3 linked regions of the Schizosaccharomyces pombe genome follow. Changing the gene in region 2 together with the main gene of any one other region gives a genetic interaction. Each region holds a gene or a part of one and is shown on either strand. Other genes may lie near its edges.

Evidence for each region. Genes that interact genetically often act in the same process or in processes that back each other up.
Region 1: mutations in rrp16 (region 2) and gst1 together harm fitness more than expected from each alone (negative genetic interaction), as found in Schizosaccharomyces pombe (one large-scale study listed by BioGRID).
Region 3: mutations in rrp16 (region 2) and ate1 together harm fitness more than expected from each alone (negative genetic interaction), as found in Schizosaccharomyces pombe (one large-scale study listed by BioGRID).

What each region holds. Positions count from the first base shown.
Region 1 is NC_003421.2:1,718,587-1,721,901, reverse strand, and holds gst1 (glutathione S-transferase Gst1), read left to right. Parts: upstream 1-1,831; 5' UTR 1,832-1,887; coding exon 1,888-2,577; 3' UTR 2,578-2,759; downstream 2,760-3,315. Other genes in the region: SPOM_SPCC191.10 (uncharacterized protein), read right to left, coding at 1-74. UniProt on the Schizosaccharomyces pombe protein: Involved in the oxidative stress response and detoxification.
Region 2 is NC_003424.3:4,801,500-4,805,123, forward strand, and holds rrp16 (rRNA processing protein Rrp16), read left to right. Parts: upstream 1-1,622; 5' UTR 1,623-1,679; coding exon 1,680-1,816; exon of another isoform or gene 1,817-1,871; coding exon 1,872-2,994; 3' UTR 2,995-3,085; downstream 3,086-3,624. Other genes in the region: sec24 (coincidence detector Sec24/Sfb2 subunit), read left to right, coding at 1-1,036; putative U2 snRNP-associated protein Sap145, read right to left, coding at 3,131-3,624. UniProt on the Schizosaccharomyces pombe protein: May play a role in ribosome biogenesis.
Region 3 is NC_003424.3:2,076,551-2,080,857, reverse strand, and holds ate1 (arginine-tRNA--protein transferase), read left to right. Parts: upstream 1-2,014; 5' UTR 2,015-2,127; coding exon 2,128-2,244; exon of another isoform or gene 2,245-2,298; coding exon 2,299-2,330; exon of another isoform or gene 2,331-2,371; coding exon 2,372-2,437; exon of another isoform or gene 2,438-2,491; coding exon 2,492-3,015; exon of another isoform or gene 3,016-3,061; coding exon 3,062-3,132; exon of another isoform or gene 3,133-3,173; coding exon 3,174-3,434; exon of another isoform or gene 3,435-3,473; coding exon 3,474-3,578; 3' UTR 3,579-3,751; downstream 3,752-4,307. Other genes in the region: AAA family ATPase Elf1, read left to right, coding at 1-1,584.

The DNA of each region.
Region 1 (3,315 bases), on a different chromosome or scaffold from region 2:
TCTTCCTTTTGATCCGAACGGATCAAAAGTCGTGCTGTCCACATATCGTTGTATTTCCGTCTGCTAGAATGCATCATCAGCAATCTAGACGTATCTTCTTGTTCTCGACATCCTTTTCCAAAAATTTTTAATTCTGAAATCTATCAGCAACTCCCTTAAACTCAAAATATCGATTCCTTTATCTTGAGGAGCGATGGATGGGCTAGAAATTTTGATTCAATAGGTAGGTTTTTTTTTTTGCAATTGCATTAGTAACTGTTTGGAGGTAAATTGAAATAACAAGCATTACTTAAACCCTTTGCCTTTTTTTTTGAATCTTTTTTTTTAAAAGGAATCGTTTGTAGAGTACTTTGAAACTGCAGCCTTAATTCAACGTCTTCTTGACTACCTTTATTTTCCAAATTATGCGAACCTCGCTTGCATGCGACTATACAAAAAATAAGGAAACCAGTCTCGCATAAAATTAAATTTAATTTTAATCTTCAAAGCATCTCGATTTCGCGGACTAGGATCCTGGATAAATGCGTTGAAACTAAGCCGATGGGTTGTAAGAATATGGGAAAAGCTGCAATGTATCACATTGAATAGTCAATTGAAGGACATGGAGCTTTGAGCTTGTTGAATGAATAAAAGTTTTTGATGAATAAACGTTATTAGACATGATTGTATTTATCGGGTTTCGACTTTAAAAGTTCAATCAATTAATGAAAGACGTAAAAGCTGGACGTTTATTGAATAATCCAAAAAAGGTTATTTTTATATACTTTTAAAAAGAAAAAAAATAGTATTTAACGGATATAAACATGTATTGGTTCATGTACTTGCTTTACTCTGATCAAGTTGGTGTATGCTTTTTGGTTTCCATTGCTCTTTTTCTGATTATAATGCAAAATTACTCATCGTGTTTGCAGTTATGTTGAATAGCTTTAAAATTTACGTATCGTATTGTCAAGGTAGTAAATGTAAACAAAAAATTTTCATAGGGAATCATTACCAATTCGCTTACAGAAATTAAACATATTACACTCACTGTATGATGAAAAATAAAGTAGATTTCGAAATAAGATTATTAGAGTGAAGAGAATTTTAAATTGATATGTGAGAAACAAAACTCCGTCATAACTAATCTTTACAGTTGAAAATCCAATTGTGAATCCCTAGCATGTTTGAATTAATATGTGCAGTAGTCTAAAAGCAAGTTTGACACGTTGGTTTTTGAACAGGTGGTGAACAAAATAAATCTCGAGCGTATGGTTGAGACTATTTTATTATTTTTATATTAACTTTATCATAAGATGTCTATTCAACTGACTCGTAAATTCTGAAAACTACATGTCTTAAGAACCTGAAACAGTTTTAATTGCATTTGAATTTGGAATTGCATTAAGCCGACCCTTTAAGAAATTAAATATAACACTAAGCATACGTTTATTTCCCACAAGGATTATACATAGTTAAACAAAACGAGAAGTCAGTCCCCACGCACTATATGTTGGTAGAAATTTTACATGAAATTTTGATGCATTACAAGATTGATTAAATGTAGCGTGTAACCGGCTAACAGGATTCAAATGTATTAGTAAATGGAATCGGTAGTAGATTTATCTTTCTTTGATCACGTTTTGACATAAATCATAACTTCCGGCTTGTCGTCAGCTAATCGAGTAAAATTTAGTTGAATCCACGTATGAGTCTAATGTATGATCGATTAGTAAGTTGGATGAAATTGATCAACTCGATTTCGGGTGTTTTCCAAAATTTTTCATAAATATTGCATACGCAATGGAAGTAAGAATTGTATATAAAATGGTAAAGATGCTCTTTATATTTTAATCCATTGCCAAACTCCTTTCATTTAACAATAGAACACACTCAAAATAAAGTATCATGGCTCAATTCACTTTATGGTCGCATGCTCATGGTCCTAATCCATGGAAGGTGGTTCAAGCGCTGAAGGAGTTGGACCTTACCTATGAAACCAGATATGTGAATTTTTCAAAAAATGAGCAGAAATCCCCCGAACACTTAGCCTTAAACCCTAACGGTAGAGTACCTACCTTGATTGATCACCACAATAACGATTATACCATTTGGGAATCTGATGCCATTTTAATCTATTTAGCTGACAAATATGATACGGAAAGGAAGATATCTTTGCCTCGTGACCATCCTGAATACTACAAAGTTATACAATATTTATTTTTTCAAGCTTCTGGCCAAGGCATCATTTGGGGACAGGCTGGATGGTTTAGCGTCTATCATCAGGAGCTAGTCATATCTGCCATTACCCGTTATAGGAATGAAATCAAACGTGTTCTAGGAGTCCTCGAAGATATCCTTAAAGACCGTGATTATCTCGTGGCCAACCGGTTCACAATTGCTGACTTATCATTCATTTCATGGAATAACTTCCTTGAAATTATTTTTGCAGAAGGAAAGTTTTCAATCGAGGAAGAAGTGCCTCAGCTCGACTTTGAAAAAGAGTTTCCTAGAACTTATTCCTGGCATCAAAGACTTCTTGCCAGACCTGCTAGCAAGGCTACCTTCGAAGAAAGATCAAAGGCTTTGGATAATTAAGTGAATTTGTGGCGTCTATCTTGATAATAACGTTCCAATATTTCAATTGATTGATTGATTCTTTATATTTCAAAATTCATGCATTGTTTACTTTCCTTTATGCATATAGATATAGACTCAACTTTTTCGTTTCATACATCAATTGTTCAAGTGCTCTTTCAATAATATCATCTTTAAACTATGATTTTCTACTATACATTCCGAAAATATATACAAAGCAGACCATGTAACATCCATCGTATTGCTCTTGCTAAAATTGGTATTTATTGTTTGGAAAAGCCAATCATCAAAAGTAAAAAATATAAAATGAAAGAAGGGATAGCTGTAATCATGTCGAAATGACTTGAGGCGCTAATTTTATTTTATTTTTTTATTGTTACTATCTTTTTATTTTTCTTATACTACAAGACCTTTTTTATTTTTTTTTTTTAAATAATGTCGTCAATTTATTGAGAAAAGTTCAATGATTTTATTAAATTTTTAAGTAAATTATAAATATTATGTCTAAAACAAAAGCTCGAATAAATAATAATCAAATATTGTTTTCTTTATATGTTGGGCAGGCTTGTCTTATATTTTTTATTTTAATTATTCTGAATATTGTAAATAAGATGAATTCAAATACTCATGAACACAAATATAATGTAGGGTATGAAGAAGTGATTCATTATCGAATTTAGAAAGGTCCTAATATAAAAAACAAAGAGAAAATCAATATAAGCAGTCGCTGTATATTAA
Region 2 (3,624 bases):
CGGTCTCCGTATGTCTTCTTTCTACGGAAACTTTTTTAATCGTTCAAGTGATCTATGTGCGTTTCCTTCTTTTCCTCGCGATCAGAGTTATGTAGTAGAGGTTGTTATTGAGGACACTATCACCAAGCCCTTTGTTTCTTTCCAAACAGCTATGCTCCATACTACTTGTAACGGTGAAAGACGGATTCGTGTACTGACTATTTCTCTTCCTACTACCAATAGTATGACTGATTTATATGCATCAGCCGATCAAGTTGCCATTGCACAATATCTTACTGTCCGGGCTAGTGAAAAGGCTCTTTCTTCTACGTTGAACGAAGCCCGTGATAGCATTATAAGTAAGCTTGTAGAAATTTTGGAAGTTTACAAAAAAAATTTGGCTGGACAAAACACCGGTGCTGCGATCCCGCTTCAAATAAGCACCAATTTAAGACTATTACCATTGCTTTGTTTAGCATTGACGAAGCATACTGGATTCAGAAGATCTAGTCATATCTCATCTGACCTTCGTTCTATTGCTCTATGTTATTTAAGTACTCTGCCAACTCCTTTACTAATGCGTTACATTTATCCAACTCTTTATTCTTTGCACGATATGCCTATTGAAGCAGGAACTGTTACAGAACAGGGTGTAGTTCTCCCTTCTGCGTTAAATCTTACTTCAGCTTTGTTGCAATCTTTTGGTTTATATTTGGTTGATACACACATTCATCAATTTTTGTATATTGGTAAAGATGCAGTTCCGCAGCTACTGATAGACGCATTTGGTGTAAACTCTCTTGCGGATTTGAAAGCTGGACGTTTTACAATGCCAGTTATAGACAACCCACTTAACGTTCGTATCAATGCGATTCTCGGTAAACTTCGTTCGTTGGATAAAGGTTCAACTATTATGCCTAGTCTTTACCTTGTACGTGGTGATGGTGATCCACAATTGCGCTCATGGTTTTTCTCTCACTTCGTCGAGGATCGTAGTGAGAACTCTCCCAGCTATTTACAGTTTTTGCAGACTCTTAAAGAGAAAGTTCGTGACTAAAGGCTGTAAAATCTGGCTACTTTCTACAAAACTTTTTTAAATTGATTGTTCTGATGGTAATATATGCCTGAATTAGTGACATGATTAATTAATAATATTCAATATGGTTAAACATTCTTTGGTTTTTTGTATTTTTAAGAAAAAAAAAATTTAAATAATTGATCTAGTAAATATACTTGGTGCTTTTTATATTGATGAAAGCTATATATGTATCAAACTAAATTAGGTATTTGCGTACATGTAGCTTCCAGCCAGCTTGTACATAAATTTTAGCTTTTATACCTTGTCTATTTTCATATTACTTGATGTTGAAGTTGTTCCAAGAATAACAAAAGGTTCTAATAATTTAATTTAATTCATTACAATTGAGTTGCAGTGTATAGATTTTCAATTTCGCACTTTAGAGCTTCACATCTTCTATTTAAAGCATAAAAAAAATATTAAATATTTATTAAATTTCATTTTCATTGCAATTAGATTATATATCCAGGCGAGTATTCACTTATATTGAAAAACTAATTTAAGAATGTAATTTTGCACTGCGGTACTAGGTGCTTGGCAAGTGGTAGAATTTTGCCTTCTGCCAAGCACTCCTAATTGTAGTAATTAGATTAGAGAGTCGAAATCCTATTATTTTAAAAAGATGGGAATCAAAGAGAGGAATGCACCTTCTCAATATAAACAATCATCTCGTAAAAACAAACGAGCATGGAGGAAAAATATTGATTTGGAGGATATCGAGTCTGGTCTAGAGCAGACTAGAGATGAGGAAATAAAAGGGTATATTAGTTTTTGCATTGTATTAATTAAAAATATTTTTATTAACTTAAAACAGTGGAAATGTCGAGCACAAGCCGAATGATGCTTTATTTGTAATTGACACTCTTGGTGATGATAGAATTGCAAAAAGAAGCAGAAAAAAAATTAAACCATTAAAGGTTGATCAAATTCTTGAAAATAAGTCTTCCATAGAAAAAGTTCATTCTCATTTAACGAATAATTCAACTGAAAGCAATAAGAAAGGAAAAATTTTTTCTAGAAAAGAACTAAATAGACTACAAGCTTTGGTGTATAAAAATAAAGATGGTTTAACCGCAACTTCTGCTGCTAGTGAGCTCAAAAATACCAAACAACCAAAGGAAAGTTATGATGTTTGGGAAACAAACCCAACAGTTACTATACCTGTTAAAAGACCTTCTACATTATCTAAACTACCCGAATCTTTAACTGAGAATAATGCAAAAGTCCCAAATGTTGTTATCGCTGATCCAGGAATGTCATACAATCCTGACGCTGCAGCTTGGATGAAGCTACTTGATACCAAAGGTTCAGAGGAACTTAAGAAAGAACAGAAAAGAATTAGTGAATTAGAGGAAAAGGAAAGAATACAGAAGAAAGCTTTTGAAGACAAGGGATTAGTTTCAGACCAAGACGTTAATCACAGCATTGATTCTGATGACCAGTCTGAACACGAACAAGCAGAAACTCCGATCCCTTCTTCGAAGAACAAACGAAAAACCAGGTCTCAAAGAAATAAGATACGCCAAAGAAGAGAGGAGGAGCTTAGATTACTTGAGCAAAAGAAAAATGAAGAGCTTCTGAGGACGATCGACAAAGCTCCTGCAATATCCAAAAAACTGCAGCAAAAGGATAAAGCTGAGAAATTCTCTAATAAGGCTGTTTCTTCTAGCACAACTGAAATCAAACTGAAGAAGAAAAAATTCGGTAAACATCGATTGCCTAACAACCCACTTGAAATAAAGTTGGGAGATGAGCTGACTAGTTCCCTTAGAGAGCTGAAGCCTGAAGGAAATTTGTTTGCCGATCGCTATTTAAGTTTACAACAAAGAGCAATGGTTCCTCCATCTTTGCCAGTATTGAAGAAATCAAAGTATCGTGCAAAGATCAAGGAAAAATATAGTCACAAAGACTTCCATCTTCAAAAAAACAGTATATAAAATATATTTTAGCTAGGGTATAAATTGGGGTTTTTTTTATTTTCACTTACAAATAATAATTAATACTTGAATAATGTATGGAGCTTAACAATAATACTGTCATATAGATTAACTAATGTACACTGTAGATAATAATTTAAAGACGAAACTTGTCTCTCTTGCTTTGTGTTTTCTGTCGTTTCGCAGCACCAACCTTCATAGCCTGCTCAGACACCAACTCCGAAAGCTCATCTTGCCAATTAGAACTTTGATTTAACGCAACATCTCCTTTGTTGGTTGATGAGAGCATGGAATGTGCATTCCTTTTTTGTGGAAGAGTATCTTCAGCGGTAGGAATGTCGTATTGATGCTGAGGACCCATGAAACCTGAGATATTAGTAGATTTTTCAGGTAAAACTTGATATAAGTCTCGATTAGCAGCATCACTACTTGGTTGAGTATTTTTTCGTAATTCAACATTGTCAACCTCTACATTAGATTGATTAAAATACGTTAAGGGCTCTGCATGCAAATCTTCCCTCTGTGACCTAGGCTCTGACGCTGACTGATATTCCTCAATCGTTTCACGTTCAGTAATTTCTTCAGTAGGATATTCTACGTCTTCGCTCTCTTCCTCTTCACTAGATTCTT
Region 3 (4,307 bases), 2.7 Mb from region 2:
GCGTTACTGACTATGAATGTTACCCGTCAAGAAGCTGCTGATGCTTTGCATTCTGTTGGTTTTACTGCGGAGATGCAGGAAAATCCTGTTGCTTCTTTATCTGGTGGTTGGAAAATGAAACTGGAGTTGGCTCGTGCCATGTTGCAGAAAGCTGATATTTTGCTTTTGGATGAACCAACAAATCATCTTGATGTTGCCAATATTGCATGGCTGGAAGCATATTTAACCTCTCAAAAGAATATTACTTGCTTGATAGTTTCTCACGACTCTTCATTTTTGGACCACGTGTGTACTGACATCATTCATTATGAAGGTGTTAAAAACCAGGCAAAAAAGCTTGGTTATTATCAAGGTAATCTTTCAGCTTTTGTCAAGGTCAAACCGGAAGCTAAATCATACTATACATTGACAGCCACAAACGAGAAGTTTGTTTTTCCACCTCCCGGTATCTTAACTGGTGTGCGCTCAAACACACGTCTCATATTAAAAATGACAAACGCTTCTTATACATATCCCAACGCGAAGAAGAAGTCATTAGATAATGTTACCGTTGGGTTATCTTTATCTTCTCGTGTTGCCATTTTAGGTCCTAACGGTGCTGGTAAATCAACGCTTATTAAAGTTCTTATCGGTGAAGTAATCCCTCAAGAAGGAAAAGTTTTCAAGCATCCCAACTTGCGTGTGGGTTACGTTGCTCAGCATGCCTTTCATCACTTGGATCAACATCTGGAAAAAACGCCAAGTCAATATATTCAATGGCGTTATGCTGGAGGACAGGACCGCGAAGTTTCAGAGAAGGAATCTCGAAAACTTACCGAAGAAGACCGTGCTCAGCTTCAGCGTGATATTACGGTCAATGGCGAACGTAGAAGAGTGGAAGCTTTGATTGGCCGTCAAAAACTAAAAAAGTCATTTCAATATGAAATTAAATGGTTTGGGAAGCCTCATAAATACAATACGTGGGTGTCTCGAGAAATATTGCTTGAAAATGGGTTTCAAAAGTTTGTACAGGCTTTTGATGATATGGAATCTTCTCGCGAAGGTCTCGGTTTCCGTGAATTGATTCCCGAAGACATCAGGGCACATTTTGAGGATGTGGGCCTTCCTGGCGACATTGCTGATTACAGCCCCATTAGTAGTTTGTCTGGCGGTCAAAAGGTTAAAGTTGTTATTGCTGCGTGTCTCTGGAATAACCCCCAGCTTTTGGTTTTGGACGAACCTACAAACTTTTTGGACAGAGATGCATTAGGTGGTTTAGCTGTTGCTATTCGTGATTGGGAAGGTGGGGTCGTTATGATTTCACATAATGAAGAATTTGTTTCTGCGTTGTGTCCTGAACACTGGCATGTAGAAGCGGGTAAGGTTACCGGTAAGGGCAAGACCGCTGTTGACGATGGAAAGTTTGAAGATCTGTCGGAGAAAGATTTGAAAAAGATTGAGGCTAAAGCTACCAAAAAGAAGAAATTGACGAGAAATGAAATCAAGGCCAAAGAAAGACGTGCTAGAGAGAGAGAATTAGCATGGTTACAATCTCCCAAGGGCACCGAAAAACCCAAATCATTCTTCTCTGATGATGAAGAATAATTTCAGACTAATTTTTTAATTCGCTCTTTGGATTGACAAGTTGAGAGTTGTTTATCCTTTAATTTTCTTTAGACGGTGCTAGTTGTTGAAGTTGGTCTTTTACATATTTACGGTTTACTGATATACCTTTTAGACTTAATTTATATATATAGAACTTGGTGGATGGTATCGTGGATAATATTAATATTAGTCGCTTTTTATATGTTTTGTTTATCGTTAGTGCATGTTATAGTTGTATTAGACGTATACACTTTTGTCATTGACTCTTGTAAAAGGTGTCAAGAGAACTATGTATTTTTTGGGTTTTTTTCTAGATATTCGTATGAAAATGTGATAGACTTTTTAATATGATTAATCAGGAAATTTCTATAAACATGCACTCAACGAAAAATAGGGTACTTAATCTTCAAGAAATAATTGGTGTAGTCTTAGTTCACCTACTCAAAGAGCCTTCAAAATAAAGGCAAAAGAACTGAACTAAGAGTTTTACTACTGATGATATAGTTCATTTAATATTAAACAGGGAAATTTTCAAACAATAGTATGGTATTGGATAAACTGTTGTACACAGGGTACAACGTCAGTACTGAATGTGGTTATTGTAAAAGTGGAAGAAAGACCGAGCATTTTGGTTTATTAGCAGAAAAGCTCAGTTGTGAAGTAAGCGTATAACTCTGCTTTTTGCAAATTTTGCTAACCTACATTTAACCTCAGGACTACCAGCGATTGATTGATTTGGGATGGAGGTAAAAACCTTTATTAGTTAACATTGCTAATATAAAATAAGACGTTCAGGACATTATTTATATAAACCCAACGGGAAAACATCTTGCTGTTCTCTTTATACAATCAGGTACTTAGCATAAGTCGCCAAATATGATTGATTACTAACCGCCGAATGTTGAAGACTCGACAGCTATAATTTTAAAATTGCAAAAGAGCAAAAGAAGGCAATAAAAAAATGGGTCAAATATGTAAATGGAAAGCCATTAAAACCTATGAAAAGCGAAATTAGCACAGATTATTTGAACAATGCCTTTCAAACTATAGAATCGCTCGGAGCTGAAAAATACTCTGTAACTATGGAGCCTTGCACTTACACCGATGAGAAATTTGAAGTCTTCAAAAAGTATCAAATGCAAGTTCATTTAGAGAAAGAAGAGGAAATCACGAAAAAAGGATTTAGCAGGTTTCTTTGCAACTCTCCTTTATTTAATGAAGACAAGGGGATAAAGTATGGTTCTTATCATCAGATGTATCGATTTCAAGGAAGGCTTGTGGCAGTTGGAGTTTTAGACTTGCTACCACATGGTGTTTCTAGCGTTTATCTGTTTTATGATCCTGATATGTCTAAGTTTTCTCTGGGAAGGATTAGTGCCTGCCGTGAAATCTGGCTTGCTCTTGAATGCGGATATCGGTACTACTACATGGGTAGGCTAAAATGTCATTTATTTAATTACGTTGATTGACCTTGCAGGTTATTATATTCACACATGTCCCAAAATGAAGTATAAGGCAACGTATAGTCCATCGTACCTGCTTAATCCCGTACGTATACATTCGATTTTAACTTGAACTAATACAAACAGGGTACAAATAAATGGATACCAATTGAAAACTTTACTTCACTTTGGAATACTGGTGCTCCTAAATATATAAGTTTCGGGGATGAAAATAATAGTGATATTCAAACTGCTGTTGACTACGATTCTTCTGAAGATTCATCTCAAAACGAAGATGATTATACACTGTTTAATCGACAGCTTCCTGGAATTCTTTCAGTAAATGTTGCTGAGTCCTTGGTTTCGGAGAATTTTGCTAACATTGGCAATTCAACTTTCCCCACAAGAGTATGTCTTTATTTTTGAGTAACAATGCTAATTCTTCAGCATGTTTTAAGTTATTTCCCTCAGGTTAAACATTGGTTTGTTGAAATCAATGCTGCTGTGGGCGAAGAAGTCGCAAAGAGTTATACACTTGTTTTATCTAGTTGATATATTATCTGTCTACGTGTTTTATTTGCTTAAGATATGAACATCCTACTTAAAAATCTTAATGAACTCCAGGATGGCTTTGAGAGTAAATTTTACAATGTGACTTACAGAATTAAGTTAATTTTATGCTACTACTTATGTGTGATAGTTTCCTCTTTTATGTCCCTTAATCGAAGTTGATAGCATTTCTAATAATATAAAATACTGCCGGCTTATATATTTATTTTGTAATTATTTATAACTGCACGCTACCTAAAATGTCACCCTAACATAACTTAGTGGGCTTTTCCGTTACGAGTTGTTTGCAACCAAACACAAAAACGGGTTTACCGGTACTTCACGACTTAATATAATCGCAAAACAGTGCATAGTAGGTGAGAAAGGATTTTATCATTTAGAGAAGAGATTTTACTTTAATTGTTCTTCTTTTTTCTTTCTCAAGTGTTACTGCTAGGTTCTCATTCTATAGAGTATTAGCAAACACCAGATTTCGATGACATTTCGTGTCAAAATTGGGTTGACTGCATTTTAAAAATAATTAATCACGGTTGGCTTACAATTCAACTTCTAGGCACTGATTTTTTCTTCGAATGCCATTTTGAAGTTATTTTACTTTTACTTTCCTAAAACAAGGTGTTGTAATAAGGGATTGTTCTTTTATCTATTTTTGTACCATTTGTATAAAGAATTCATTAATTTGCACTGTGATTTTCTTAATACAGGCTTAAA